Arabidopsis thaliana: one gene and its partners. The protein of the gene in region 3 binds, or shares a complex with, the protein of the main gene of each other region. Each region holds a gene or a part of one and is shown on either strand. Other genes may lie near its edges.

Region 1 (7,284 bases), on a different chromosome or scaffold from region 3:
ATCCACATTTATTACAATCTTAATATTAACTTTGGATTCAAATATCTTGTATTTCTAATAATTATGTTTTTTTTTCGTTTTTTTTTCCACACTTATGATTTTTATAAGAGTACACTTTAATGAAATAAGATGCTTCAAATGATAGTATAGAGCATTATAATTTGCAACCAATGGGAGTTGGCCATTTGAAGATTTGTGATCATGAAGCTTGTCAAAGAAATAGATAAAGAATATCAATCCGTTAGGACTAAATAGACAAAAAATTAAGTAAATCAATGTAACTGAAAAAGTGGTCAAAATGCTACCTACACAGAACTTTAATTGTAGGTTTAGCTTATAAAAATACAAAAGGTATACATATAAATACATAGGAATAAAAAAAGAAAGAATTATTAACAAATAATATTCCTCTTACGTGGGACGAACATTGATAATTCATTTTATCTCGATTTATCTTTATACATTTTTGCTGTTGTGCATGTTTGTGTTTGGTGAGGGTATCTTACTATCTTACCAACTTCCTCCACAATTGCAAAGTAGCCTCCTCGAAATAGAAACATACACTTACATATTTAAACAATGTCATAATACTTACAAAAAATAAAAATAAAAAAAATACTTACATACATGATACATCATACATTTTTTTATTAATTTAAGTAATTTATTTGTTAATTTCAACAAATTTGCACAAAAGTTACATACAACTCGAAACAAACAGCCGAAAACTCTTGAAAGCTTCTCTTTGTTTCTCTCACACGTAACGTTTTTTGAAGAGATTGTGTCGTTTGGTTGGGTCTTTAGGTTTCTTGAATTGCTGACCGGATTTGTGACGGCCTGAGTTGTATTCCATGTAGACCATTCCTTTTGAACCGGACATTACGCTCATCGATCCCATGCTTCGTCTCGCCTTTTGTAGAGCCATTCCGTCTGTGTCTTCTTCGAGTTGCTCTAAACCGACCAGATCGTCTCCAGCATTCATCACCTTTCCAAGAAGAGACAACTGTTCTTCTTGACTATGGTAGCTCAAGCTTGAACCCGCGTCCGGAGGTGGGAGGCTTGTTATAACCTTAAAGCTGTAACCTTGGTCTATCAAGAACTGTTGTCTTTTCGTCGAATAATACATTTCCTGCATTTTCAACATTCACAATCCTTAAATCAGCCATTCACATGGAGATACGAGTACGGGTGTTTGTATTATCAGTTCAAGTTTCATGTTTCGGGTTTTAGAAAACGAGGTCGGGCAAGAACTGAATCATATTTTGGTTCTAATTCGGGTTCGGTCTGAGGAAATTCAGTTTTTATGCCTACTTCACTTTAGTGATTTACCTGTGTATCTGTCGAAACAAGTGAGTAGAAGAATGCATTGTACTCTTCTTTTCCACCGGCCATTCTATCTTCGAGTTTACCCTGTTTTCATCATATGGAGAAATATCAAAAAAATTTGATCCAACCAACAAGAGAAACTAAAAGAGACACTTAAGTGATGAGTACGAAATTCAAACCTTAGCCCTAAGAATACGACCCAAACGCTGAGCCTCTTGACGTCTAGAACCAGCATGTGACGAAATCTGGATAATCACATTAGCTTCAGGGATATCTATGGAGTTATCACCAACCTGTAGTCAAATAAACCAAACGGAAATTAAGTTCCCTAACGAACATGGAATGGAGGAAGGACAAATTTATATAATGAAGGAAACAATGTTTATACCTTTGACAGGAAGACAGTGTTCACGTCTTTACTGGTTTTAAACGCCTCGAGAATTTTTGTCCTTTCGATATGACTACATATTGAAAAAAAAATTGAATTATCAAATTGGAAATTGAGTGAAAACGAAAAAAGTGTGTTATCAATAGAACTTGAACGAACCTGGTTGCACCATAAATCATTGGTTTCCGGAGTTTCATCGCATACTCTGTAAGCGCAAAAAGATTGTCTGCAAAGACAATGATTTTATCCCCACGTTGTTGTTCATGGAAACGAATCAGAAACTCACAGGCTCTGAACTTGTTAGGGTTCATGACATAAAGTGCCTGCAGATACCAGAAGACCCATGTCAGAACAACTGTCAAGGTTTACTAGCTCCAATTCCATAGACTTTCCATGGTGGTTCTATTAGAGCATTTTCCAAATTAGAAAAGCACACTAAAAAAAGAACCTATATTGATGCTTACAATATTTCAAGGTTCCAGACTACATAAAATTCATGGACTCTAGTGCATCAGATGAAACTAACATAAAGATCAGATATCTAACAATCTCAGATATTATTTTCAGAAAATGCAAAAAAGCATATATTCATGAACCTGCTTTTTCTTGGAGTTCTCTTTCTTTAGATATTCTGCAAAAAACTCTTTGGTCATGGGACACCATACTTCAGCACACTGAACATTTGCAATAAAGCCTCCTTTAACTAAATCTAGCCAATTGGCTTCATAGAGTTTCGGGCCAATGAGGAAGTTCAAATCTGTAATCCTTTCGTCTTCTCTCACAAGGGTGGCTGAACAAAAGTCCAAAAAAGAAACTTAGCTTCTGCAACTGAAGTATACATATGTAAATGTATGTGAAAATGAACCCTTAAATTACCTGTAAGTCCTAGCTTGCAGTGAGATTTTGTGATACTGATAACTTTCCTAAACATATGGGCTGGAACCACATGCACCTAAAACAAAACAGAAATCTTGAAAAGTCAAGCATAGAATGGAAACTTATTGTTTGTAGATCGCATTCATGGGCTCAACACTGGATACACCTTCTCAACGAACATATGACTTTTCCGCAAAATAACTACCAGCAAACACTAACATCAATTTGATTACCTCATCCATGAGCAGTAACCCCCACTCTCTGTTTCTCATTTCTTCTATAATCTTCTCTGATTCCTCAGACCGTTTACCACCAAAGGCAACCATATTATAGGTTGTCACAACAACACCAGCATTTCCACGGAATCGTTCTTTACTATCAGAAGTGAAACGACATATTTGGTCATCTCTTATAGTAGACCACAACTTGAACTGGAAGGCCCACTGATCCACTGAGACAGCATTCGTCGCCAAACAAAGACAACTCTTCTTTATACGAGCAGCTGCAGAAACACCAACTAGAGATTTACCAGCACCACAAGGCAACACTATAATCCCAGATCTTGCTCGCCCTGCAAATCCAAGATTCAAGATCAGTCACAATATTTCTCAAGAAATTACAAAGATAATTATCTATTAGGTGTTCACCATAAAGCTAGATCAGTCACGTGGAAGTACAAGTGGACATATCTATGAGAAGTTCACCATCAATAAGGAAAAATAATGTGGATGCAGACAGCTATACCGTTCCCAAACATTTTGCTCAAACTTTTTTCCTGGTATGGCCTCGGTTGTGCATGGGGCTTCAGTTCCATGTCAAGATCGGGATTAACCTGAGAGACACCATCAAGTTATTAACAATCACACACCTGCGGTGCATATCATCTGGTAAGCAAAAATTGGCCTGAAGTGTAATATTTGTTACTCACATTGTCGTTCCTGAAGTCATATTCCTCTAACATAGGGTAATTCAAGGCATTTGGTAAGCAACGCTGCTTCACATTCTCCACCTAAACACCAAGAGAAAAAGAGCATGACACCACGAGTTAAGTAAAGATCATACAACTTTACCAAACTCATCAATTCGATTACTTTTAAGAAGCATTAGGAGAAATTTACCTGTGCAGGGTCAATCTCAAATGAGTGAGTTTCTTTCTCTTCTGCTGCTGCTGCAAATTCCGCTTCATTCAATAGCTCCCCGGGTCCTGCTTCAAGTTCACCGCATGTTCTGCCGACCGAGAATCCATCACCGCCATAATATGGCTACCAAAAAAGTTAATCTAAGTTGGTTCGACATACTGTGGAGAATACAATGGTATTAGATTAAATAAATCAACAGTCAATGAATCAAGAGTTTAAGAAAAAAGGATTATGAGTTAATTTACCAACTGAAACATCGTTCCAAGGAACTTAGGAGTTAGGAATATAAACATGAAACCAAGAACCTGAGAGAATCAAAATATATATATATCTGCCACACTGGTGACAAAAGATGCAAAACACCGTTGAGAACAACCAAAAATGGTATGTATTTCCATCCAGCATAAAATCTTGAAAGCAAACATAATGAACTAAATGGAGGAGTTCAACATACCTCAGAAGAAAATCTAGCTCGGTTTATAACATCGTCGCTGAGAAGCCTTTTCAAAACCTGAGATTGTTTTGTGTTTACAATTGAGCAAAGGCAATGGAAAAACGAAAACCAATATCCAAATACACAAGAGCAGAGACAGAGCATCAGCCTAATGAACTTACCTCTGGGAATGGGGACTCAATAAAATACCGATTCTTCTTCAAAACCAGCTTTACTTTCCCATAATTAGCAGTAGAAGCATGGATGAACTCAATCATCTCCTTGGGTAGCTTAGTCTTAGACAGTTTATTCAAAACAGAAATGATAGTTTCTGTCTCAAGACCAACGGAAACAGCAGCATACAACGAGTGTGGGGTTAAATTATACTCGTGCATTGACTCAGGCCTGAAATAGTAACAAATGAATGAAAATCAACAACAAAAATCATAACTTGTACATTGATATAATCACCAAATCAAAATCGAACCTGCAAACGGGTTCAGCAATGGCGATAAGAAAGTCATAAGCTTGTTTATAGAGAGGAGAAAATGTCTCCAAGAAAATCCTTCCATCAGCACAAGCCCACAAAGGCCTGTTTCCATGATCTGGCTTCAACTCCAATTTAGTAAAATCTCTCTTCTTCTCCTCTCCTTCACCTTCAAAAACCATTATAACTTTTCAATTCAATTTTGTTCCAAATGTATCCATTTGTAAGTAATAAGTATGCTACAATCTTACCATCACGAGAGTCTTCATCAGCATCATCATAGTAATCTTCAGCGTTTTGGATGTTCTTCATCTTTTGATCATCCTGAGATTTGACAGTACAATTACACTCACTAACTACCATCTGAAGAGCCCTAATTGATAAAATAAAAAATTGATCTGGAGAAGAATCAAGACGAACCTTGCCACCATACTTCATCTTCTTGTTAGGTCTTCCTCTTTCACCTGAACAACAGAACTTCACAGTATTGGCATACTTTTGTTTGGCAAGATAAACTAAGCAAAAATCAGTAAGATCGAGCTGCTTAATACCGTTTCCCATATTGATCTTCTTTTTTTGTCTTGTATCTTCCAATTGAAGTTATCAATTAGCGATTCCTGAGAAGAACAAAGAAGGAAGACAACCGGCGCCGTGAAAATTTACCGTTGAAAGCTATTTGGCGGAGGGAGTAGCTGCGTCCCCGGCGGATTTTGAATCGGATTCGGTGTCGGGTTCGGGTATCACTGGTTTAATCATTAATGTCAAGGAAGGGAAATGTAAAGTAGAAGATTCAAAAGGCTACAAATAAATAACGGATCAAATATGGGCTTTAATAGACCTCTTTTAATGTGGGCTTTCTTATTCTCACGTTGAGCCCATTCTTTTTTCTTTTAGCCTCTAAGATTATTCTTACATATGCAAAATGGGAGATGAAAGACAAACCATAGGATGAGGAAGGAAAGCGCATGAGAGCATGCACATAGTTGGTACTCATAGAGTACCATTAATAATATTTTACTATTAATTTTAATGTTTATTTATTGTTTGAAACTTTTTATAATATTGATAATAAATCTGTTTCCACCGGTGAAATCGTATTAGTATCATTAAAAAAAAAAAATTGCAAAATCGAAAAGATGCGTTTTCCCGACTAATCGAAAAAAAAAATTTCTCTCTTTTCACACAAAAACATGTTTTCCCAACTAATCATAACCCGCCACGTTATCAGAGACTGGTATCAAAGAAATCACTCCAGTGATACTACTTAAACCCAAATCAGTTATTTTATTCATTAATTTAATATTTTTGGGCTTATGATACTCATAAAAATTGTGCAATGTACATGGTCTGAGAATGGGAGACGATTCAATGCCCAAAGAGTTGCCACGTTCTTCTCCTTCTCAAGTGACACAAAGTATGAACCAAGAGGAGACCAATGTACATCCAACGCTCCTGCACAAGACAAATAGCATTACATTACCCCATCTGCAGCAGTATATAATCTCGGTCCCTTAGAGCATCCTCATTGCATATCTTTTATGGGTGTCTTTAAACTTTTAAACTACTTAAAAAAGTGGAAAATAATAAATGGATGTGTCTTAATAGTAGACATTTTACCTGTCAAAAGAGAGAGGGTCTTTAAATTTAATATTATTTAATATGAAAGACATTCATTGGAGGATGTGCAATGAGGATGCTCTTACCTTGGTCATATAGACATTATCTGGATGCACAAAAGAAGCAAGACCTTCTTCTTACCAACGTCTCAAAAACATGTCGGGCCTTCTTCTTACGATTTGGATAACATCTTAACAACTGGGCCATAACGGATGACTAATTGACCCAGATCTTCTTCATCAGTACGACACTTAAAAGAAAAAACACACAGAGTCGGGTCTTCTTCATCTTTCACCTGAACAACAAAATTCCCCAGAATTGACAATACTTTTTTTTGCAGGGTAATATGAAAATTAACCAAAATCAGTAAGATCGAGACTTTTATCGTTCCCCATATTGATCTTTTTCTCTTCATCGAATCAATTTTAGACATTATCTCTTGTCTTTTCAATCGATTATATCAATCCGGTGTCGAAGACAGAAATTCTACGACAGAGGGAAAACAAACGGTACCGTAAATATTTTCCGTTGTAAGCTAGACCGAGAAGCGAGCTGCGTCTCCGTCGCATTATGATTCGGATTCGGTGTCGGGTCCAGGTCCGGGTATGTCGAGTCCGTTACTGAGTTGATGTGATCATGTGAATGCAGAGAACGTTATAGCAGAAATGCAAACTCGATTCATATATAGAAAGGCTACAATAACGGATCCAATATGGGCATTTAGTAGGCCTCTTTTAGCGTGGGCTTTCTTTAATCTCAAATTGAGCCCATTATTATTTTTAATTCGAAATCATGACAAGTAATTATTTTTTAACCTCGAAAACTAAGTACGTTTTACTGTTGTTCAGGATCTGTCAACCAAATTATAATCGTGTTTTATATGTTGGTTCAGCGAGATATCATGACAGTTGACAATAACAAAATAATTTTCAAAGGTATTCTCGAGGCGATATCATGATATGCTAGAAAACAAATATCAAAAAAAAGGAAAGAACTTTCTAATATCAATTAATCAATT
Region 2 (7,697 bases), on a different chromosome or scaffold from region 3:
AGTAGCACACGCATAGAGAGATACATATAATGGAGAAACACGACGATGAGAAAGCAATAGATAAGAAGAATACAAGCGTGTCGTACCTTACGACCGGAGGAGAAGCAATGAGTGACGATGGTGGAAGAAAGATTTGAATCTGGCGGGGGATAACGGCGACGGCGGCGGCAGAAACAGACCAAGAGAGAGAGAGAGACAGGAGCGGATAAGAGAGAGAAAGAAGGGCTTAATAATATTTTGGGATTTCTTTTTAATAATTAAGTTTTTCTCGCGCAAAAAAAAAAAAAAGACAAGAGAGAAAATGGAGTGGGTTATAATTGCCACGTGTACGAGCCGCGATGGCTCATGGCTCGAGATGATGAAAATAGAATCTCAGGGTTCGTTGGTGGCTGATGAAGTCGGTGAGGCTCTTCTAGATGGCTATTTCTGTGAACCTTTCTGTCTTCACTTTCTTTCTTTCTTATTCTCATTTTTCATTTTTTTATTTTTTTTTAGGTTAGGTTAATTTAATTTCTATAAGGTTTTTTTATGGTAAACAAATTTATTACAAACATTCTCAAAACAAATGCTAGGTTAATTAAACCCGAATACCCCTATACACTTCCCATCGTCTTCTCTATATATTATCCAATTTCTCAATTATCACTATGCTCTTACAAAACTAAACAAATTCATTAGCAACATATCTAACCTTTAACTAAACAATAGTATTAGCATCATCGATTTCTGTTTATGAGAGTTTAATGACCGATTCAGTGACTACATAGCTCAAGCAACATTCTTAACCAAACCCCGCTAATGCTTCTCAATCAAGTTCTTAACCAACTGTTTTGCCACCCAAAAAAAAAACAATTGGGGTATTGAGAGGTTCCTTGTAGCACAAGCAACATTCTTGGCCAAATCCCGCTAATGATGCTTCTCACTCAAGTTCTTTAAGAATCTTATCTATTACACTACAAAATCTAAATGTTCAGTCCAATGTTTAATTTTTTGTCGAAGGAAATCTCTTTCTTTCCAAGTACAAAACGTTCTCTATGTAATCTTAGCGGTTCTTCTCTGCAAGTCCGATTCGTAGTGTTGGAACGCAGCATCAAGAGCCTGGTGGAGAAAACGGGTTAATATCACTCAGATTTCAATTCATAAACTGGATTACAACGCAATGTCTGGTTTTGCTGGTTAAATTGGATCGATACAATGCGAGTGGAAAAAATAAGACTTCACCAAGACATGATGTAATAAAACTATCTATGAATTGGAAGGAAGCTAACCTGTTGCATTGGACGAACTAGTAAGGAAACTTGATGCCGGAGATCAGACTGCACCGACTGTTTCATTGCCTGGTTTACATTCGGTATAATATTACGGAAACCATAAACACTAGACCATATGCTGTAAGTTTCGACTACAACTCTGCACCTATTCATTTTACCCAAATTTCATGTTTGTGTAAATGCATTCGTATGAAGATATAATGAACTACTTTTCTAACGCATTACTCCGAGAAAAAGATTTGAAGAAGAATTCCATAGCTTACATCGAGTAGTGAATAAGTATTGGACATTGCATCCTTCAGTTTACCAACCTGCATGATAAAATATAACATCCTAGTATAAGAATTTCCTCTCAGTGTAAATAAATTTCAATTTGATCCTGAAGAATCTATGTACATAGCAAACTCTATGATTGGAAGAATGTGAAGTGGCAACAACATTACCTTGGTACTAAGATATGTCGTTGTTATTGGGTAAGATGACCAAAAATGTCTCACTAATTCTTGTATTGATGTCCAGTGCTGTATATGAGAGAAAAAAGGAAAAAGTATTGATGCATTTGAGGGGACAACAATATCCATAGGCATTATTAACCAAATTACAGTAATCAGTATATATTGAGCTGCTTGTTACTTGGGACATTGGAGGATGTCAGACTTACATGTATAACTTCATCCTTAGTGGACTTTGGTAATCTGTCCAGAAAGCTCTCTTGCGGGTTCTTCCCGAGAATATTTTTGGCAGTTGAGATAGTTCGGGTCAACGAACTGAAAACCTGGATAGGGTTTAGCAATATTTAGCTCAGGGAACAAAGCAATAAGCCATGGTTTCTTTAGGCAGCATGCATTTTATATTGAGATAGAATAGCACCTCAAAGGAAACTTCAGGTTTAATCAACGGATCACTTAATCCCGTCATTCTAATCACCAAAATGGATTCTTTTAGTAATCCATAAGCTTCATGGACATTTCTTTTTGACGCCTTTGCTCCTCTGGGTTCACTGAGGATGTTTCCTTGTTGAGATTCAAAGTAATCACGAGGGTCCTGATTCCAAACAAGAGAAGGTACGAGGATTTACGCACCATCTTTCATCATCAACAGTGTAAACCTATTTATCACAAAAAGCCAAGACCTTGATAGAGAGTGGTGCTAATGGGAAGTTTTGTGGTGCTTGAAGATCCTCCATTTCTGTTGCACGGGACATTCTCTCCAACCTCTCCTGATTAGCGTCCTTGGTGATTTCACCATCAGCTTTGCTTACTACCAGGGGTAATAGACATGGATACCTAGGTCAGATGAATATGAATTGCAGCATTGGCCATTGATCAGCATAGAAAAAGAAAAAGATAAGTAGAGCATATCATAATGAAACAGCAAACCTTGTTTCGCCCGTGTGAGAGCCTCTGCAACAATTCTCGTATCTTCAGACTGAACATCTACTTTCCAGTATAAAAGAATAAGTGAGTATCATTGTATACTTTACCACCAAGAACTAAAAGCAGAGGGCCAAAATACATGTTTATCCCTCATCAACTATCTGTTGGGAAGTCATTTGATGGCTATTTTTTATACTGTTACACAAAACACCAGATGAAACAATCAGAGTTGAAAGTGTTTACTGATGCATCTTCCTTCCAATACAACAGCAGCATGACGATTAAGATCTTGTAAAAGTGACCTCTTAAGCTGGTCATTCTGTGGTTCAATAATGTCATTGGTGCCATCGCGCTGGATCCCGTGGTCCTGAGTGACAGGAAATTTAATTAAGCACAAAATAAAATATGATCCAGCAGAAAATGTGAATAACCTTTCAACCAACATATAGAAAGAGCAAAATGTAAGTTATAAGATCACTGTTTTCTGGATACTAGCGTTAGGCTAATATAAAGTAATGGACCTGAGTGGGAGATAAAGCACTAAATGAAATTCAATTTCTAAGCAAGAAATAGATCACATAATTCAAATATAGTTTACACAGTCCATAATTTACATTTGTGAGAACATAAATTTTCTTGATTGAATAACTTATAAAAGGATTGATGAAATTCTAGAAAACAAAACATTTGACACACTGTTACAAGTTGATGCTTATCACCGTCAGTATTAGTATCATCTATGGAGCACAATGCTTCTCATGCTACTACTACTTCTAGGGTGAGACAATATGTAAACACCAACACTGAAAAAGCCGATGAGAGACCTATTTTATCTGTGGAAATTTCTACACTGTTAACTTGAAATTATCGTTTCAATAAACCTTGATGCAGAATGAGTTGATAGTTGGCTTACCATAAGATGGGTGTAGTCATCTCCCTCGTCAGCGTCCATGTCAAGAGTTGGATCAACCCGTCTCATCTACAAACATGACATTTAAAATAAATGGTTATTGGTTAGACCACAATCATTATCCTTTTAAGCAAATGACATGGAAATAATTAATTATAAAAAAGAAATGACCTTTTGACGAGCTTCCTGAGCCAATATCTCGTCAGGCTTCAGAAAGACAGCGAGTTCCTCATCCTCAGCAGCTTCTGCTGCAGCTACTGCTGTATTTTTTGTGCTGTAAAGATATTCTGCTCTAAAATATTTTGTCCAAAAGTCCTTTTCTGTCATCTGGCGTAGAAAAATAACTACGAAAGGCAGTTATGAATCATTGTATTTGATGATTAAACCAATAAACAAAGATGGTCAGAGTGCTGAAGTCTTTGTTACCTTTTTCGGAACATAATTTATGAATGCCTGGCGAACAGCCGGCTTCTCAGCAAAAATCTGAAAGAGTTATGAAGATATCATATGTGAGAAAAGGACAGTAGTATGAATGAAGCAGCATTTAGTTAAAAATGTTTTTACTTTTCAATTCTAGTTTCCCACTGGAATTTGTAAGTTCAAGCACATGATGCAACCCGAACATCTAGTAATGAATTTATGACTCAATATATCACCAATTGCAACTTCAACCCCATTGGCCATATAAACTTATCCCGACCCTGGAGGATCGCGCTTGGATTCAAATTCAGAAACTTATATAGCCCTTACATCAATGAGAAAGATAGTGAACCAGATAGCTAACCTGAAAAATTATCTCAGACGTTAAGTTAAACGTCACCCTATTAGTCTGAAAGATCAAAAATTGAAGAGAGGTTAAACCAGATGAAATGTCATATAAAATTTATCAGCAAATGGATGTATTATACCATACCCGGCCATCAGTAGACGGTTTGATGCCTGAAACCATCATGCTTTTGAGCCCCATCTGTTGTTTTGACTTTCTAATGGAATCTTTACCAAGTAATTTCTGCGATCAGAACACAGTTGATAACTATTACGATTGAGACTTACGAGAAGAGCAAAACTGAAACATCAAGGAAACAAACAAAGAACCAACCTTCCTCGTAGACCAGAATTCGTCTTCCGTCAGGACTTTACTTTCCACAAATTGCTTATGCAATTTCTGCAACTCACTTCATTATCATAATATCAGAAACTTTTACCCAAAAAGAAAGCAACTTTTATAAGTGATTACACACCTATTTTCTCGAAGAAGCTTGAAGCGTAGCTCAAATTCTGCCATACTAAGTTGTTCAGCAGGTGTCAAGACAACTAGTTTATTAGGCTCCTCTTCACATTTAGCAAGGGCCTTAGCTGTTCATAGCACAATTGGTTACAGCAACAACACCACGAAAGAAACACAGAAAAAATACTTAAAATGAATCAATAACACCAAATCATGGCACGTGGAGCTTACTGATGAAATCACGACAAGCATGCATGTCAGGATAATTTTCAAACTCAAAGATATGACTCCTTCCCTGTAATAATCAAAGACGAGGAAACTTCAGTGATACACCTATCAATATTTTTTAGCCTTGAGCAAAAAGGGCCGAGGAAAAACAACCTGCTTGCTGGTCAGATTGAGCCAAGGAGGTTTATTTGATCCTTCTTTGGTATATTTCTGACCTGAGAAATTTAACATGGCACAATAATCATTTAGAGAAATTATTCATGATAAATCTGAATGAACAATATGGATAATCAAACACTTACTTTTGATGTTGTGAGTCTGAACTTTAAGCTTCAAATCTGATTTAGGATCATTTGGGACAAAGAGCAGCATCACTTCACTCTGAGAACAAAAATTGGAAGATCCTTTGAGAAAAAAACCATTGAGTAAGGAAACAAAAATAGAAATCATATAGTGGCAAAGAGTTAAAGTATTCTTACTAATTCGAGGGATCCAAGAGTTCCTGGATCCTTCACAAAGCTCTTGTATTTGACTCGCTTCTCCATTGATATATGCCCAAGGTTCTAAAGCATGGTAAAATTGGTGGATTAAGTTTGTGAGCCGGAGGAGGTAAGGAGTGTCGACGGCGGAGGAAATATTTGAATCTGGCGGAGGAGAACGGCTAGCGTCGGCAGATCAGACAAAAATAGCTAAATAATTTGGGAATTTTGTTAATTTTAAGTTCGAGAGATAATGAGGTGGTTAGAACCACGTGTACGAGCCGTGATAGCTCATGTCTTGAGATGGTTCAACAGTTCACACCCGAAGTTGATGAGTCTCAAGAGCCACGTGTACGAGCCTTGTTTAACCGGGCCTGCGATCAATAGTAGTGTTGTTAGCTTAAGCCCGTATATGTATGGCCCATTTATTGTCTCGAGCTAAAAGTCGCAACTTTTTTTTATTGTTTTTTTTTAGTTTATTATAGGCAGACGATAACATTTGTCTTATTAATTTCATGTTAGGAGGACATTGGTAATTTTCGCTTGTTTTTTTGTGTTTGGTCAATGAATATTTTTTTTTTTTATGGAGCCGTGACGCAAATGGGGGTGGCTAGGTGGGGCAAATGCAATCATGAATAGCAGCCACAATAAAATTAATAAATTGATCGAGTACATATGTCATAAGATAAATGGTCGGTTTTGGATATGTAAGGCGCCGGCATTAGGTGGTATGACTCCACGTATCTTATCGTCGATGCATTGGACGGCTATTAAATAATCAGTCTCCAACATAAAAATTCCAAAATCACACTTCACACATTCTTTTATCATGTCATGAGGCTTAATGGGTCGGTCTTTTTTTTTAGTGGCTAGTGATTTTAGCTGATGTTTCAACATTTTGGTTTTAAGTGTTTCTATTTTGCAGCTTAAATATACATATAAAAATAATAATTTAAAGATTGAAGGTCCTCAAATCGTGTAAATGTGGATTTTTAGTTTGAGAAAGTATCTCACATGAGCCTTTTTTATCATTAATTACTTAATTACAGTGTCAAAATGATTGATAAGGAGTTGGAAAATACTAGGTGGTAATCAAGATGGCCCTTGGATGCTACAAGAGCGTAGGGCCATAGGGCCCATTCCAGAACAATATAGCAACCACTAAGCATGTTTTTGTTTTCTTTAACATTGTCTTTTCTATTTGGCAATTAGTACACTACTTACGTTTTGTGGTAGGAACAAATAATTTGTAATCTTGGCACAAACCAGTGCTTTGTAACTTTGATGATAGAAAAAATTTATTCACTAGTTCGATAACGATTATCAATCATCATAAATAAAAAAAGTTAGTTTAGACGATCATGAAGAGAGAAAAAACAGAATTATTGGTACTATCTCTTAATTTCCCAACTCTGTAGGTACACTCATTAATCATTATGGAGAATGTCATAGTCATGGTACATAATGAATGTGCATGGTGCTTATGGTACAGATGTTCTTAACTTCTTATCCTGGCTGGCAAACGCCAGATCATCTCAACTGGAGGATCATGTTTTGTTCGTAACAGTTAGTAACTAACCAAATTAGTGACAATCATGAGGGATTATTAAAAACAGACATTGATCTATTTTTGATTAGAAAACATTACTGATAAAACTACAAAAATAGCTGGAATGGAGCATTCAAAACTCTGTCCAAAGTCCAAACGGTTAAATTATCACTGACCCAATCCAATAATTAGATTTATTTAGTAAGTATGATTACTACGAAGATAACATTAACAAAATTTTATGTTATTGTCAATTTGTCATCATCGTCTTTATTTTTTATTTCTCAACTTTCTTTGCATTACATCTTCCAACTATATAATTAACCACTCTACTTTCTCAAATCCCACACTCAGAGAAGAAGAAGAAGAAAAAAAACAGAGCTTTACAATTTCTCTCTACAGAGATCGAAGATATGGAAGGCAAGGAAGAAGACGTTAGAGTTGGAGCTAACAAGTTCCCGGAGAGACAACCAATCGGAACATCAGCTCAGAGTGACAAGGACTACAAGGAACCACCACCAGCTCCGTTTTTCGAACCTGGTGAGCTTTCTTCATGGTCTTTTTGGAGAGCTGGGATCGCTGAGTTCATCGCTACTTTTCTCTTTCTCTACATCACTGTCTTGACTGTTATGGGAGTGAAAAGGTCACCGAACATG
Region 3 (6,796 bases):
CTCTGGATTTGTATTTATAAACAGTATTTCTGAACTTCTAATGGAAACCTACAAAAAGAATGAAAGCTTTATTACGGAGGAACGGAAAAAGGAAACTTGGCCGAGAGAGACGAAAATACCTAAATACCCCCCTTGGGAAAAAGGAAAATTTGGCTCAAGAGAGGAAATTCCCTAAATAGTCTTCGGGAAAAAGGAAATCTGGTTTCTCGCACGTTGAAAAATTAGCCTGCGTAATAACGGCTAGTGGGTGAGCTGGAACTCCAACTGTTGGGCTTTGCAAGTGCCCAATGGGCTTCGACAGTTTTTGAGGCGGTTATTGGAGACAGGTGATTGGGTCGTCGCACTAACTCTGCCAATTTCAATTCCACTTCTACTGCTTGGTTAAATTTATTTAATCATTCTTTAAGATTTTTTTTTTTTAGTGGTATGTTTGATAGATTTAACAAGGAGCCGACGAAGTATTTCTTGATCTAAAATGATGTAATGAGTGAATATGATAATCTAGTTATCTTAACATTAAGCATAAATTTTGCTAATTTCAATAGATTTAAAACCAAAACGAAACTTTTACGAGCCTTAAATTTCAATTCGATTCTTGAAAATCATCAAGAAAAAGAACAAAATACCTACAGTGAAAATTTTTGCTACAACAATTTTTGATTGACCTAAACCAAAAAATAACAAACAAACTGATTTACTAATAAGCCATGTCTTGCACACCAGTCTCAGCCATCTTCTCCAAATCTTCTTGTGTCAACAGAGTTTTCCTTCCCATTGTACCCGCCTTATCATACGGTTGAGCCATTTTCCGAAGAAACTGCAAAAAAAACAAAAACCAGGAAAATTGTTGATTCTTTATGCCTTGTTGTTTGTTTCACTGTGAGTTATAAAAAAGCAGCGAGTTATAGGTTTACCTCTCGAGCAATGTGAATAGCCATATCAGTGCTTAGATTCAAGTGTGCATCACGCAGATGCGAAAGTATCCAACCAGGTAGTTTGGACCGCTTATCATGACGGCTGTATCTGCAAGTTTTACCATCAATTGCAGTGTATTGTTAGACCATAGAAATGTGACATTATAAACCAACATAAGCATATATCTGTGTCTCTCTTCTGTCCTACGAATATTTTCCCATTCCTAAGGAACAGTGTGAACTCTGTTACAATCTTCTATTCTCGAGGTGATCTCAGATACTTGCGCATATACTTATTATCATACTAGATAGATTATAGAGAGAATCCCATTTAGTAAAATAGCAAGAATCTAAATGACCAGACTCAGAGAGAGAAAACTTAAGGCGGGCATGTACCTTTTGTCTGCAAATATCATCATCCCATAATCAGCCTTTGACCGGATTACTCGCCCTACACATTGAGCTGCTTGCCTCTGTGTTAAAGCCAAAAAGAGTTAACAACAGTCACAAACAGGTAAAAGAGTTGCACACCAAAATCTAATAAGATCATAAAATAAGAATCATACCAAGGCATCAAAAGTTAGGAAATCGCCTTCTTTTATTTGAAATGTATCGTGCAAATACTCCAATCTTGCTCGTAATATCCTGAAATTTTTCCCGTTTCCATCTTATCATCTCCCAAGTACGATGAAATATAAAAGCAGAAAACCGGAAATTGAAATGATAAACATTCATTTGAGTACAACTTACTTGCTTAATGTATACTGGAATGGTACTCCGTACATTACAACCAGTCTTCCATAATGACGATCAAAATCGATACCTTCAGCAACTTTCCCCCTGCAGTTCAAATACAAAATTTGATCACTTTCTTTGAAATTTCTCAAAAGTGAAACCTCTTTAATATTTGTTAACCAACCAAGAATAGGAGAGAAGAGACAATTCCAGTATTATAATACAGAAACAAAGAAGCAGAACCAAAGACGCATTGCAATGAATTCCCAAACCATCTACCATTCAAAAATAAAAATTTTACCTGGCCACAGAGAAGAAAACTGCACCTCTTCCGCAATCGCAAGCCCTGCGATAATTATCCAGTGCCAATGTTGTTTCTACAACATCTTGTGTTTCAATGAAAACAAGCTTCTGTTGCATTATTTCCTACAAACATTAAGAGAATTGGTAATATCAGTAAACAAATATACATTAATGCCTGAAGCAACTAAAAATATTTTGAGGTATCATAAAAATTCCAATTCATGCAAAACTCTGAAAAAATTACTGGCATGGTAAAGCGATGAAGAAGACCTTACCTTCAGAATTCCAGTTTCATTCCATGTAGCAATAATGCCATCCATATATGAGTAACTAACAAAGAAGCAGACAACTCCATCAGGAACAATAGATACCATCTCTACCAAAAGCTTTCCGTAATTCCTCACAACACCAGGATCACTTCTCATGTCAAATTTGGTGCTAACAGGAAGCTGATCACTGAAAAAGAAAACAACCAATAATGTCAAGACATATAAAATTAAAAAATAAGTTAAGTGTTCAGGATTCTTTTTATATACCACATACCTTCCCCGAGTTAGAACCATAGGGCAGATGCAGTCTCGTGTCATTGACATCTTAAAGCTTCGACTAACAACAGGAGTGAAATTAAGAAGACGGGGGTAAAGATCAATTGGGCTCAATGTGCCTGATGTAATCACGACTGACTGGAAACGATCAAACACCGGTTTGATCGCCAGAGACGCATCATGACAGCTCAACTAAGATACAAAAGGATATATGTTTCAGATACAATTCTCAATTATTCAAACGGTAGCATTTACGTGTGAGTCATAATCCCTTAAAATCCCAGTGACAATACTCAAAAGAAAGTAGGTCAACACCATATTTACCTGCAATATAGGATCTGGAATATGGGGCATTCTCTCGTCATAAGGCTCGATGATGATGGAAAATCCCCGGGCATATGTCCCAACAAGAGTTGCAAAGTCGCACACTGTCTGGATAGGCAAAAACTCATCTGTATCTGTAATTTCAAGGGTTAGCATGAGAGACTGGAGCCGGTCATAACAGAACTTCAGTGTTTTCTGCTCAATTCCAGCCTGAGAATTCAGTGACGATACAAAGCTAACAGGGCTTTCTTTCTCTACATTCTCAGTGTCCAGCCGTACCCCCAAGTACTGAAGTAATCGGCGTAAAACATGCACAAAATGCTCAGCCCGTCTAATATTCCCCGGGACAGCCTCCTTTAGAATATCATGAGGCAGTGCAGGGTTTGCAAGCCATTGATCACCTCCTGCAAAAAAAAAATTGTTGCGTCAAGTTCATAGAATTAGAAAATTTACTGTGTGCTTTCAATCAAATCACAGATCACCTTCCTGAACACATACTTACCAGATAAGTCCCCTCTCAGTGCTAAACCCTCAACCAGCCGGTTGTATTCAGCTCGCAATCTTCCTGCATCAGTAGCCTTGAACCTTCCTACCAGTTGGACAATTTCAATAATGTAATAAGAACTTAAAAATAAGCATCAGCAAATAACCAGGTCACTTCCTGTATTGAACCAAGAAAATTATGCTTCATGTGTTTAAGATGATGACAAAAGCGTTTGTAAATTTTTGTTCCCCTTACAGTTCTTTGACAAAAAGCAGTCTCATAAAACCAGATTATTTTCTTACTAACTTAAACTTCCTTAAGAAAACCAACAATTAGCAACTGGAGTGAGCAGACACCCAGATGGCATTCAAGAACAATCAGGAAATTCAATTGAAAAAGAAAAGACCCTATCACTGTGTTTATTGTTGTATTAAGAGTGGCACGTTCAAGAGAACTTAAGGAGTATCAGCTATATAGGAAAAAATTAGCGTACCTATCAATTTCTTGCCTTATCTTATTAAGATTTCGATTAGCTCCTTCAAGTGTAACCCTCCTCACACTGACGCTGAGTGCTTCAATACACACGTTATCGATATTATGGGCCTCGTCAAACACTACAACTGACTCTTTTTGTAACTCCTTTGATATGAACCCAGCAACCTTAGGATCCAGTAGGTATTGGTAGCTGTAAACAATAACGTTGGCGAACTGAATCATATGCCTCGCGAGAAAGTAAGGGCACCATCCACGATTCTTACCAAACGCCCTTAGATCCTAAAAATCGAAACACACATATACCATCAGGCAAAATGTGCAAGTAACCTCGAAATAAGCATTCCAACTAAAACATAAACTTGATCAAACAACAAATGTGAAAAACCTTAACTTTTTTAATCTTACCTCTAAAGTATAAACACCAGGAGGCAACAACGCATTCTCAGCAGCCTTTTCATAGTTCTCAAAGAAGTCACAGAGTTCTACATTTGGATTCTCCGTGGACAAAGCCCTAACCCAGCTAGCAGTTCGTTTCCTACAGGCCGCATCAACAGAATCACGATTCTCGGCTGCTAAAACCTTAGTATTAACGCAAAGATTCTTCCGAGAGGAAAGACCAAGGGCGAGGATCTTAGCCTGGGTGCCGAGATGGCGTACTTGGTAGTCATGTAGTAGCTTAAGCTCACCTAACGTTTTCTCCATCTCGTGGACAGTACGAGTACAGTAAACAAGCTTGATCGGAGAATCAGGACGAGAGAGTCGATAGCTGGTGATTAGAGAGAGAAGAGCAATGGTTTTACCAGTTCCGGTAGGCATCTCGAGAAGACAATGTCCCTTAGCGTCTAGGGCTCGCTTCAATTCAACCATGTATTCATATTGTTCTGGATATATGTTGTCATAAGGGAAGTAGACAGTTACGTCTTCGATTTTAAAGATCATCTTCTTCCTCCTACCTAGAAATCGAAATTGGCATTAGAACTAACAAAACCCTAAAAAACTCGAATTCACTTTAGCAAAACAAGCGATTCAAGTTGGAGTAGATAAACCCGAACAACGAGAAAGAAGGAACAATTGAGATCAAGCGAAGAGAAGATAACAGGAGAAAACTTACAGGTGATAATGGAAGCTTCGATGTGTTATCAACGACTGAGAGAGGAACCGGTAGCAGCTTCAAGGTAGAAGAAGAAGAAGAAGAAGAAGAAGAAGAAAATTTTGCGTCTGTGTTTGCCGAAGTAACCAGAGCAAACAGAAGAGGAGGACTCTTATTAGAAAAACTTAAAGCTTTGTTTCTTTTTCATTCTGACCCCCTATTTATTTATTTTAATGCGTTTGACCCCCTAACTTTATGTATATTAAACTTCTCGACAAAATTAGGTTTTTAAATGTTAACAATTCGTCCAAAAATATAAAATAGTTGAACAATCCTGATTTTGTTAAAACAACAGAGTATTAGAGTATGCAGTAGTAGTAGTACAATGTCATCTCAAGATTTGGAATTGTTTCAACAATGCTGGTTTTTTTCTAAAATTTGCAACAGGGTTTAGTTACAACAATAGAGAGATACAAACAAACTCTAAAGTCTTATTCTTCAACTGGTTGATGGAAAGCTAATCCCTTTATCACATGTCGACATTGATACCTGCAATGACACAGTAAGGCATGGTCAAGAACTTGTTTAGTGTGTAACTGGAGAATTGTGAATAAGAGAAGTACCATATTAGATCATTTGTGGGAGGAGAATTTGTTGCATTGTCTTGCGTTCTGCACTTGAATCTCAACTTTGAAGGCACAAACTGCAATAATAAAAGATGTTTGCAGGTGACGGAAAATCGGAATGTTGTACATGGATGTGTGAAATAGAATTAGCAGAGAAGTGTATACCTTTCTGTTGTATCTGAAGTCACGTTTAGGAAGGAAATGTTGTGGAAGATTCAAAGTAGGTGGAGCATGAACCAATATGAAGAGCCTCATTGGACCTGCAACTCAGAAGAAGGGAAAAAAATCATTACACCATAATTCACAACAATGCTAAAGAAGTTTGCAATTTATGCAAAAGTTACCTGGGTAGGAAGTTGATCCAGCACCCGTCGAGATCAGTGCTCGGATAGTCTGTAAAGCCAAGAGTGAAGGGCTCAACCATTTTTGACTTATCACAGCAGATAAAATTGAAAAGAGACAAATCACAAGCAACATGAAAACAGAGGTAAGAAAAAGAATAAACCTTTTTTGAAAGTGCTTCTGCAGCTTTGGATTTAGCAAAGTCACCTTCGTAGCCTAGAACATGGTCTCTGCGTTGTGTGAATAACAACTCATAAGCATTTTGAGGCCGTAATGGACTACCACCAAGAATCAACACAACTTTCTGAATGCCAGGAGCTTCACGGATCATTAACTGCAGCGCACTTCGGAGACTAGAGATGGTTTTCATCAGTTTCTCCAGTTTCTTAATCTCATTCTTCACCTCTCTCTTTCTACTCATCAGTTTTCTTCTAACCAGTGGTTTCACTTGAGGTTCTGCAAGATTCGTCTCCTACAACCTAAGATTCTTAGAGTGTGAAAAAGACCTTAGACCTTAAAGTGAAAATGGCGTCTGTAGGACTAACATACCAAATCCATAAATTCAGTTTGCAATCCTTCAAATTCAAGGCTCATGTCTTGTAATACCCTGCACAGATGTAAATAACCAACAACAGTCATATTGGTAGAAGGAGCTTTGTGTAGCCAAAACCAAAGCTGCAAATTGAAGTTTCTGGTTTTCAGTAAAACACTCATAGTGGATACAACAGACTTAATTCTAAAACCAAAAGGAAGTAGTGTGCACAATTGCGTAGAGCTTTTCAATTTCTCCTAGAATTGAACATAACTCACCTACCAGGAATTAATCACTAATCCATCCAGAATCCATAAATTCATAACCACGAAACTATTTTTCTTCTGATAAATTCGTAACCAACAGACTAATCGGAGAAATTAACGGAGAGATTGAAGAACAAACA
Region 4 (7,728 bases), about 20 Mb from region 3:
ATTTACACCGACATAACGATCAATGCCTCTGATGGAAGCATTGGAGCTCACCGAGCAGTTCTCGCTGCCCGTTCACCTGTTTTCCGCAGCATGTTTTTACACGACCTGAAAGAGAAAGAACTATCAGAAATAAACGTACTCGACATGCCACTTGATGCTTGCCAAGCTTTTCTCAGTTATATCTACGGCAATATCCAAAACGAAGACTTTCTTATACACAGATTGGCACTCCTCCAAGCAGCTGAGAAATATGATATTGCTGATTTAAAAGAGGCGTGCCACTTGAGTCTTCTAGACGATATCGACACAAAGAATGTGCTTGAGAGGCTACAGAATGCTTATCTCTATCAATTACCTGAACTGAAGGCTAGCTGCATGAGATATCTTGTGAAGTTTGGCAAAATATTTGAGATCCGAGACGAGTTCAACATATTCATGCAATGCGCAGACAGAGATTTGATTTCTGAAATCTTCCACGAAGTCCTCAGTACCTGGAAAGGATTTTAGGGGAAATCAGAAAGGGTATGTGTGCTATAATTATACAAAATACATTTATGGACACTGATTTTTTGTGCAAAAGGATTTGTTGGTCTTTATGTACAGATTAAAGTATTGGGGGTTTTAACTCAAAACCCAAGTATTGTCCTTACAAGGATAAGACAGCAACATGTAAATTCATGATTTGATTGAATGTGAGCTTCTTAGCTTGAACTTTGAATTGTTAATCTATAACACTAATATAGTTTTCTGAACTTTTAAAGTAAAATCTACAATCATCTTTTAGCAATTTTACCCGATTCATGATACTAAAGTTATACCAAGCTAAAAAGCTAAACATACATATCCTCCCATGATCTGTAATCTTCCCTAGTTTATTGTAATGGTGACAGATGTTAAAACATATCATGCTACAAGCAAATTCAACAGGAATGGTTCAGTAGTTTCAGAGAATCAACCAACTAGTTTCTTAGCTAATATGAAAAATTCAAAACAGAGGAATATATACATTCTTCTACTCTAAGACTAGAATCTGTGCTACATACCAATGTGAGTACTACATGGTTTACAGAAACCAAATCTCCGGAAAAAAAAAAATCAGAAAACAACTCCCTGAAACTGAATCAATAGCTACATAAGCGATTTCAGATCGTCTTCAATGGAAACAAAATCAGACTCTAAGACCTCTGAGATCCGCCACAATGCCGGAAAACTAAGAGGAAATTACATAGAAACGAACTCGAATCAGGAAATCTCTGTGACTGCCAAATAATCAGAAACTAGAATGTCGCACGAATCTGATATATGGAATGGATGGTGTTCATGCGTAGGAAAAATCAAAGTGAAAAAGAAGAATCAGACAAGTAAACCGATATGGGTCTAATAGAATCGCAAAATGAAAACGACGAAAACAACAAAATGGAATTTCCTTGCAGAAGAAACTTACCTTCGACAGCTACCTATCACCACCACCATCGCCTTCTTCATCTTCGAATCTGAGATTCGCTTCATCTCTTCCTCCAATTTTGAAGAGAGGGAATATTGTTCTTCATAAGATGCTGGAAAATGAAGATTTTTTTTCAATTATTTTTTCCCGGCAAACGAACTACGTCAATAATGGGCCTTATTAGTGGCCCAAAATATTAAAGACGTCGTTTCATTCTGTAATAAATAGATCCCTAATCAAAAAAACCTCCCAAATTTCGAACTCAAAACTCTTTCTACGTCTACCTTCTTCTTCTTCAGCCGTCGACATCCTCTAGTAAGCCAGCTACTCTTTTCTTCTTCTGTACAGTAATCAGCTTCAATTCTATAGAGCTTTCAAAAAAAATCTATCGTTTGAAGCTTTATCTGGTTTGTGGTCTTTTTTTGTCGATGTCAATTTAGTTGATAAATGCACAAATATGTATCTTTTCTTCTTTTCTGTGTCTATCCTCATTATTGATTTATACTAGAGATTACAGAATTTGGTACATATTGATTATAGTCGTGAGACTATCATAATTTAAGGTGTTGTATGCTATTTTACAGGTTTGAATTTAGTCATTGAAGGTGTTAAAGTCCATGGCAGAGTCTATTCAATCCGCAACTGAAACCGAGCCTATGACGGTTAAGCCATTGAACTTTGAAGGCTCATGAAATGTCTGATGGGAAAGTTCAGTTTAGAGAAGTAGCCGTTCCACCGAACCGGTACTCTCCTCTCAAGAAAGCTTGGTCGGATATCTACACACCGGTCTTTGATCAGATGAAAATCGACATAAGGATGAATCTTACATTTTGATGCCCCTAATTAGTTTTGACTTTTTGTTCATTTTATCACATGACCAATCATAATGGGCCGTAGCAGTTTAATTCGGGTCAGTAAGTTGGGTCATGATTCGGGTCGGATACTTATTCCCGTTCTATAGTATAAACCTAGATTCCAATTTCGCTTGATTTCCGATGAATTGATCGACTGGAAAACAGAGAACCACCGTTTCTACAGTTGGATATGGCTGGTGGGCAAATAGAGAAGCTAGTCAAATACAAGAGCACTGTCAAGGATCCAGGAACTCCTGGATTTCTCAGAATTGTATGAAGATTACACTTTTCGCTCTTATTTGAGTTATATTATCTCTCAGCTTAACTGTTTCTTTTGCAAAATCGAAAAATTTGCAGAGAGAAGGGATGTTGCTCTTCGTCCCTAATGATCCCAAATCAGATTCTAAGCTCAAAGTACTTACTCAGAACATCAAAAGTATTGTTTGTACCTTTTCTCATTAACATTGCTTATTGGATAATAGATGTTGTGTTGATAAACGATTTCAGTTATGATGATAGCTGCATAGTCATTATCAAATTTCACTGTGTTTGTTCAATCTCTCAGGTCAAAAATATACCAAAGAAGGATCAAATAAACCTCCTTGGCTCAATCTCACCAACAAGCAGGTTTTTTCTGTTGACATTTTTTGATTAAAGCTATGATACATTATAGATATGTGAATTTTGAAGCTATATCTCTGTGTTCATTGAGGTTTCCTCATCCTTGATTGTAGGCAAAGAGTCATATCTTTGAGTTTGAAAATTATCCCGACATGCATGCTTGCCGTGATTTCATCAGTAACCTCCATGTCCCTTGGTTTGCTTTTATTGATTGGGAAAGTATTTCTCTTGTTTTCTTTCGTGGTGTTTCTGTAACCTCTTTTTTACTATAAACAGCTAAGGCCCTTGCTAAATGTGAATTGGAGCCTAATAAATCCGTTGTCTCGACATCTTCCGAGCAACTCAGTATTAAGGAATTGGAGCTGCGCTTCAAGCTTCTGAGAGAAAATAGGTATGTAATTGGAACATTAAGTTGCCTTTTTGGGTTCAAAGTTTCATTGGCTCATCAAGTTCCTTCTAATATGAGTAACATACGTGATTTAAAGTGAGCTGCAGAGATTGCATAAGCAATTTGTGGAAAGTAAAGTACTGACTGAAGATGAATTCTGGGCTACAAGAAAGGTTGGTTCTTTGTTTGATTTTTTTAAAAATTTTGTTCTCTTCAATGTCTTCATAGTTACCGACTTTATTCTGGCTGCAGAAATTACTTGGTAAAGATTCCATCAGAAAGTCAAAACAGCAGCTCGGGCTTAAGAGCATGATGGTTTCTGGCATCAAACCATCTACTGATGGGCGGGTATGGTATAGTTATCTCAACTCCTTTCTGGCAGTTAGTACAGCCAATTTAGTTAGCATTTTCATGTGCCTGCTTTTGTAGGAAAGAAACAATGCATCTATATGACCATACACTGATGTGTTCGACTGAATTACATTCATATGTTGATATATATCATATTATCATGTGACATCTCTGCTGGTTTACTAACCACTTTCTTCATTTTTCTTCTTTCAGACTAATAGAGTGACGTTTAACTTGACACCTGAGATAATTTTTCAGGTGAGCTCTTTGGTTCACTATGTTTGTCATTAGTGTAACTGCTCTATCAGTTTCTGAATCCCTCCAAGGTCGTCATCATAAGTTTTTTATATGTTATGGGGTTGAAGTTGCAGCTAGTGATATATTGGGTCAGAAATCCATTGTTAGGTGTTCAGGTTGCATCATGTGCTTGAACTTCTAGTCCAATCTGAAACTACAAATGAGGAATATAAACTTTTTTAACAGTCTTTCACCCACATTCTATCTTGTGCTTGCTTAGCCAGTAAATCCATTGCAAGTAACTTAAATGTTACTTTCGTAACTGCTACAGTCCTTTTCTTACTTATGTTTTCTTCATTACGCTTTCAGATTTTTGCTGAGAAGCCAGCTGTTCGGCAGGCATTCATCAATTATGTTCCGAGTAAGGTAACAAAGACCAGCTCACTGTGACCATCTTTGTTTATAAGGTTAACCCTCAAATACGACGAATCTTAACTGGCTTTGGTAGTTATTTTCCTACGCCAGATGACAGAAAAAGACTTCTGGACAAAATATTTTAGAGCAGAATATCTTTACAGCACCAAAAATACAGCAGTAGCTGCAGCAGAAGCTGCTGAGGACGAGGAACTCGCTGTCTTTCTGAAGCCTGATGAGATATTGGCTCGGGAAACTCGTCACAAGGTTAGGTTTCTTCTATGGTTTAATCATTTATCATATATTTTGTTTGAAAAGAAAATATTTGTGGCATATCCATCTGATTTAAATGTCATCTCTGTAGATTAGACGGGTTGATCCAACTCTTGACATGGAGGCTGACCAGGGAGACGACTACACTCATCTTATGGTAAGTCAACTACCACTGCATGTGAAAGGTTTGGATAATTTCCAAATTGCGCAACAATGGTTGTTGAAAGGAAAGTTCAATGCTCAGTTAACACTGTACAGATTCACACATAGAATAAGTCTTTCATCGAGGTTTGTAGTGTTGATGTTTACGTATTGTCTATCCCTAGTAGAAATAGTATGGGAAGAACTGGGATAATACTAACGGTGTTAAGAATCAAACCTGTACCAATGTGTGTCACTTGTTTCTTTCTTCTAGAATTCTCAGCGAACCTAATTTGAATTGTTAAATCAGGAATTTAGTTTCTTTCAAATAACTCTGAATTAGTGCTTTTGCTTTTTCACAAGACCACTACTTTAATATTAGCATGTGTGAGAAGGAGCTCAAAACTGATATCTAGAAAATATTAATCTTAACATTGACATTGTGCTCTTTGTATGCGGTTGAAACGTTATTTTCAATACACTTTATCGTACTTAATATAACTTTCCCATAACACAGGACCACGGGATCCAGCGTGATGGCACCATGGATGTTGTTGAACCACAAAATGATCAGTTTAAACGATCACTTTTGCAAGATCTTAATCGTCATGCTGCTGTTGTATTGGAAGGCAGAAGCATTGGTAAACACCTCTAAGAACCTCATTTGAATCTTTTTATCTGAATATTTTATAACAGTAGATAGTTCAGGAAGTGTAAACATTTATGTTGGCCTTTTGACTTTAGTTCTTGGTGGTAAATATACAATAATATTCCTGTAATTGGAAAGCAGATGTTGAGTCAGAAGATACAAGGATTGTTGCAGAGGCTCTCACACGGGTTAAACAAGGTATGATGTTTCATTCTGCTAAACAATGCCACGCTTTTTATTCATCTGACCTTGCTATCCATCTCTATTTTACACCCCTGTTAGTAAGCAAAGCTGATGGTGAAACCACCAAGGACGCTAATCAGGAGAGATTGGAAAGAATGTCCCGGGTAGCAGGAATGGAGGATCTTCAAGCACCACAAAATTTCCCATTGGCGCCGCTTTCTATCAAGGTTTGGCTTTCTGCCAATATAAGGTTTTCACAATTGATGATGGATGCTGCGTTAATCCGCTTACCCTTTCTTCTTTGGAATCAGGATCCTCGTGATTACTTTGAATCTCAACAAGGAAACGTCCTCAATGTACCCAGAGGAGCAAAGGGCTTGAAGAGAAATGTCCATGAAGCTTATGGATTACTAAAGGAATCCATTTTAGAGATTAGAGCTACAGGATTAAGTGATCCGTTGATTAAGCCTGAAGTTTCTTTCGAGGTGCTATTCTGTCACATAATAAAAAGTGTGCTGACAAAAGAAATCATTACTTATTGCTTTGTTGCCTGAGCTAAAAATTGCTAACCCTATTCAGGTTTTCAGTTCGTTAACCCGAACCATTGCAACTGCTAAAAATATTAATGGGAAGAACCCACGAGAGAGCTTTCTGGACAGATTACCAAAGTCCACTAAGGATGAAGTTCTACACGTAAGTCCGACATTTTCCAGTGTCCTAAGTGACAAGAAGCTCTATATGTACTAGTTAGTGAAGATTAGGTAGTAATGCATATGGATAAGAGGACTTTTCTTCTTTCATCTACAGCATTGGACATCAATACAAGAATTACTGAAACATTTTTGGTCATCTTATCCGATAACAACCACATATCTTCATACCAAGGTAATGTTATTGCAATTTTCAAATCTCCCAGTCCCAGAAATTGCTATATATATTGATTCCTAGGCTTTCACGGGAAATTTAATCTTATTATACACCAAGAGCAAGTTATTATACCAAATATTTTTCGTCGATTCTTGTGATGTTATATTATTATCATGCAGGTTGGTAAACTGAAGGATGCAATGTCCAATACATATTCAAAACTTGAGGTAAGCTTTGAAATTCTTCATCTTTCTGACAGAATAAGCAACTGATAGTAAATCTGCTATGTTAAAACAGTAGTTCCTAATCATACCAATGCGTTTACGAAAATGAAATTTTTGGGTAAATAAAATTGATGCAGTATTGTAGTCGAATCTTATTTGCATATATATGGTCAACTGTACGGTTTCCTTGATATTAAACTCCATGTAACTCAGGCAATGAAAGAGTCGGTGCAATCTGATCTCCGGCATCAGGTTTCTCTACTGGTTCGTCCAATGCAACAGGTTAGCTTCTTCCAATATCTACGGAAGAGTTTTATACTTTTATTACATCATGTCTCGGTTAAGTCTATATTTTCCACTCATATTGCATCTATATCCAGTTTCTACAGCCTTGCATTGTAATCCGGTTTGAAAATTGATCTTAATCGGTTTTCTCTGCTAGGCTCTTGACGCTGCGTTCCATCACTACGAAGTGGATCTGCAGAGAAGAACAGCTAAGAGCGGCGAAAGACCAAACGGCTACGTATAGAGGACAAAAAAACTAAAACTAAAAAGCTTTGCAAGATCTTTGAATTGTTTCATCAGCCTTGGTTGGTGTTTTTGAAAATCTTCATTTGTCCCTTTTTGTCCGACCATTGAGATACAAAAATGCGTTTATATTGTAGTAATATTTTCTTTTCTTTTTTTTGTTAATTAGGCGTTATATTGTTAACTGCGAGAGACAACAAAGAGATTTTCTCGATCTGAACATTTTTAAGTTTGCAATGTATTAGTAAATTCTCTACAGGCTTTGAGGACGTTACTACAGCTCCAAGAAAGCTCTCAGTGCCATAATTGTTTGGTTATTTGGTTACTGGTGAATATTTATAATAATGGGACAATAATAGAGAAAATGCTTCGATGGCGTAGTAGATTTCAATGTTTGAATCGCATCAAACAACAATCCAAATTAGAAATATATAAAATTCAACATAAAACTTTTTTTGACATAGCATTCATGGATAACTTTTGATTTGAATGATTAATTTACTCATTGTGAGGAAAAAAATAAAAACAGATAAAGTTACTCATTGCTTGTCATA

Evidence for each region.
Region 1: UVH6 (region 3) and XPB1 share a complex: the UniProt entries of both Arabidopsis thaliana proteins name them as parts of the 7-subunit TFIIH core complex.
Region 2: UVH6 (region 3) and AT3G61420 share a complex: the UniProt entries of both Arabidopsis thaliana proteins name them as parts of the 7-subunit TFIIH core complex.
Region 4: UVH6 (region 3) and AT1G55750 share a complex: the UniProt entries of both Arabidopsis thaliana proteins name them as parts of the 7-subunit TFIIH core complex.

Annotation. Positions count from the first base shown.
Region 1 is NC_003076.8:16,549,263-16,556,546, reverse strand, and holds XPB1 (DNA repair helicase XPB1-like protein), read right to left. Parts: upstream 5,429-7,284; 5' UTR 5,211-5,428; coding exon 5,201-5,210; intron 5,114-5,200; coding exon 5,070-5,113; intron 4,974-5,069; coding exon 4,901-4,973; intron 4,819-4,900; coding exon 4,650-4,818; intron 4,568-4,649; coding exon 4,345-4,567; intron 4,241-4,344; coding exon 4,184-4,240; intron 3,853-4,183; coding exon 3,709-3,852; intron 3,600-3,708; coding exon 3,519-3,599; intron 3,423-3,518; coding exon 3,335-3,422; intron 3,162-3,334; coding exon 2,824-3,161; intron 2,667-2,823; coding exon 2,591-2,666; intron 2,505-2,590; coding exon 2,311-2,504; intron 2,038-2,310; coding exon 1,874-2,037; intron 1,788-1,873; coding exon 1,715-1,787; intron 1,620-1,714; coding exon 1,506-1,619; intron 1,411-1,505; coding exon 1,330-1,410; intron 1,130-1,329; coding exon 755-1,129; 3' UTR 509-754; downstream 1-508. UniProt on the Arabidopsis thaliana protein: ATP-dependent 3'-5' DNA helicase/translocase; binds dsDNA rather than ssDNA, unzipping it in a translocase rather than classical helicase activity. Component of the general transcription and DNA repair factor IIH (TFIIH) core complex.
Region 2 is NC_003074.8:22,726,203-22,733,899, forward strand, and holds AT3G61420 (BSD domain (BTF2-like transcription factors, Synapse-associated proteins and DOS2-like proteins)), read right to left. Parts: upstream 5,951-7,697; 5' UTR 5,559-5,950; coding exon 5,493-5,558; intron 5,418-5,492; exon of another isoform or gene 5,395-5,417; coding exon 5,316-5,394; intron 5,229-5,315; coding exon 5,167-5,228; intron 5,081-5,166; coding exon 5,017-5,080; intron 4,914-5,016; coding exon 4,799-4,913; intron 4,733-4,798; coding exon 4,657-4,732; intron 4,567-4,656; coding exon 4,471-4,566; intron 4,387-4,470; coding exon 4,342-4,386; intron 4,041-4,341; coding exon 3,984-4,040; intron 3,885-3,983; coding exon 3,729-3,884; intron 3,627-3,728; coding exon 3,561-3,626; intron 3,015-3,560; coding exon 2,891-3,014; intron 2,708-2,890; coding exon 2,651-2,707; intron 2,532-2,650; coding exon 2,404-2,531; intron 2,316-2,403; coding exon 2,142-2,315; intron 2,047-2,141; coding exon 1,933-2,046; intron 1,793-1,932; coding exon 1,715-1,792; intron 1,583-1,714; coding exon 1,535-1,582; intron 1,338-1,534; coding exon 1,269-1,337; and 4 more. Other genes in the region: PIP1A (plasma membrane intrinsic protein 1A), read left to right, coding at 7,455-7,697. UniProt on the Arabidopsis thaliana protein: Component of the general transcription and DNA repair factor IIH (TFIIH) core complex, which is involved in general and transcription-coupled nucleotide excision repair (NER) of damaged DNA and, when complexed to CAK, in RNA transcription by RNA polymerase II.
Region 3 is NC_003070.9:773,765-780,560, reverse strand, and holds UVH6 (RAD3-like DNA-binding helicase protein), read right to left. Parts: upstream 5,035-6,796; 5' UTR 4,912-5,034; exon of another isoform or gene 4,754-4,911; 5' UTR 4,740-4,753; coding exon 4,206-4,739; intron 4,080-4,205; coding exon 3,799-4,079; intron 3,407-3,798; coding exon 3,324-3,406; intron 3,226-3,323; coding exon 2,822-3,225; intron 2,690-2,821; coding exon 2,496-2,689; intron 2,409-2,495; coding exon 2,228-2,408; intron 2,076-2,227; coding exon 1,951-2,075; intron 1,755-1,950; coding exon 1,665-1,754; intron 1,560-1,664; coding exon 1,481-1,559; intron 1,388-1,480; coding exon 1,311-1,387; intron 1,024-1,310; coding exon 915-1,023; intron 818-914; coding exon 698-817; 3' UTR 517-697; downstream 1-516. Other genes in the region: AT1G03180 (non-structural protein), read right to left, coding at 5,382-5,439, 5,514-5,593, 5,682-5,776, 5,861-5,909, 6,022-6,330, 6,408-6,465. UniProt on the Arabidopsis thaliana protein: ATP-dependent 5'-3' DNA helicase, component of the general transcription and DNA repair factor IIH (TFIIH) core complex, which is involved in general and transcription-coupled nucleotide excision repair (NER) of damaged DNA and, when complexed to CDK-activating kinase (CAK), involved in transcription by RNA polymerase II.
Region 4 is NC_003070.9:20,839,896-20,847,623, reverse strand, and holds AT1G55750 (BSD domain (BTF2-like transcription factors, Synapse-associated proteins and DOS2-like proteins)), read left to right. Parts: upstream 1-1,724; 5' UTR 1,725-1,759; intron 1,760-2,028; 5' UTR 2,029-2,488; coding exon 2,489-2,569; intron 2,570-2,655; coding exon 2,656-2,734; intron 2,735-2,863; coding exon 2,864-2,925; intron 2,926-3,032; coding exon 3,033-3,096; intron 3,097-3,195; coding exon 3,196-3,310; intron 3,311-3,404; coding exon 3,405-3,480; intron 3,481-3,559; coding exon 3,560-3,655; intron 3,656-3,871; coding exon 3,872-3,916; intron 3,917-4,264; coding exon 4,265-4,321; intron 4,322-4,420; coding exon 4,421-4,576; intron 4,577-4,673; coding exon 4,674-4,739; intron 4,740-5,240; coding exon 5,241-5,364; intron 5,365-5,513; coding exon 5,514-5,570; intron 5,571-5,654; coding exon 5,655-5,782; intron 5,783-5,866; coding exon 5,867-6,040; intron 6,041-6,134; coding exon 6,135-6,248; coding exon of another isoform or gene 6,249-6,302; exon of another isoform or gene 6,303-6,362; coding exon 6,363-6,440; coding exon of another isoform or gene 6,441-6,503; exon of another isoform or gene 6,504-6,601; and 7 more. Other genes in the region: AT1G55760 (BTB/POZ domain-containing protein), read left to right, coding at 1-507; AT1G55755 (uncharacterized protein), read right to left, coding at 48-105, 356-491, 1,458-1,509. UniProt on the Arabidopsis thaliana protein: Component of the general transcription and DNA repair factor IIH (TFIIH) core complex, which is involved in general and transcription-coupled nucleotide excision repair (NER) of damaged DNA and, when complexed to CAK, in RNA transcription by RNA polymerase II.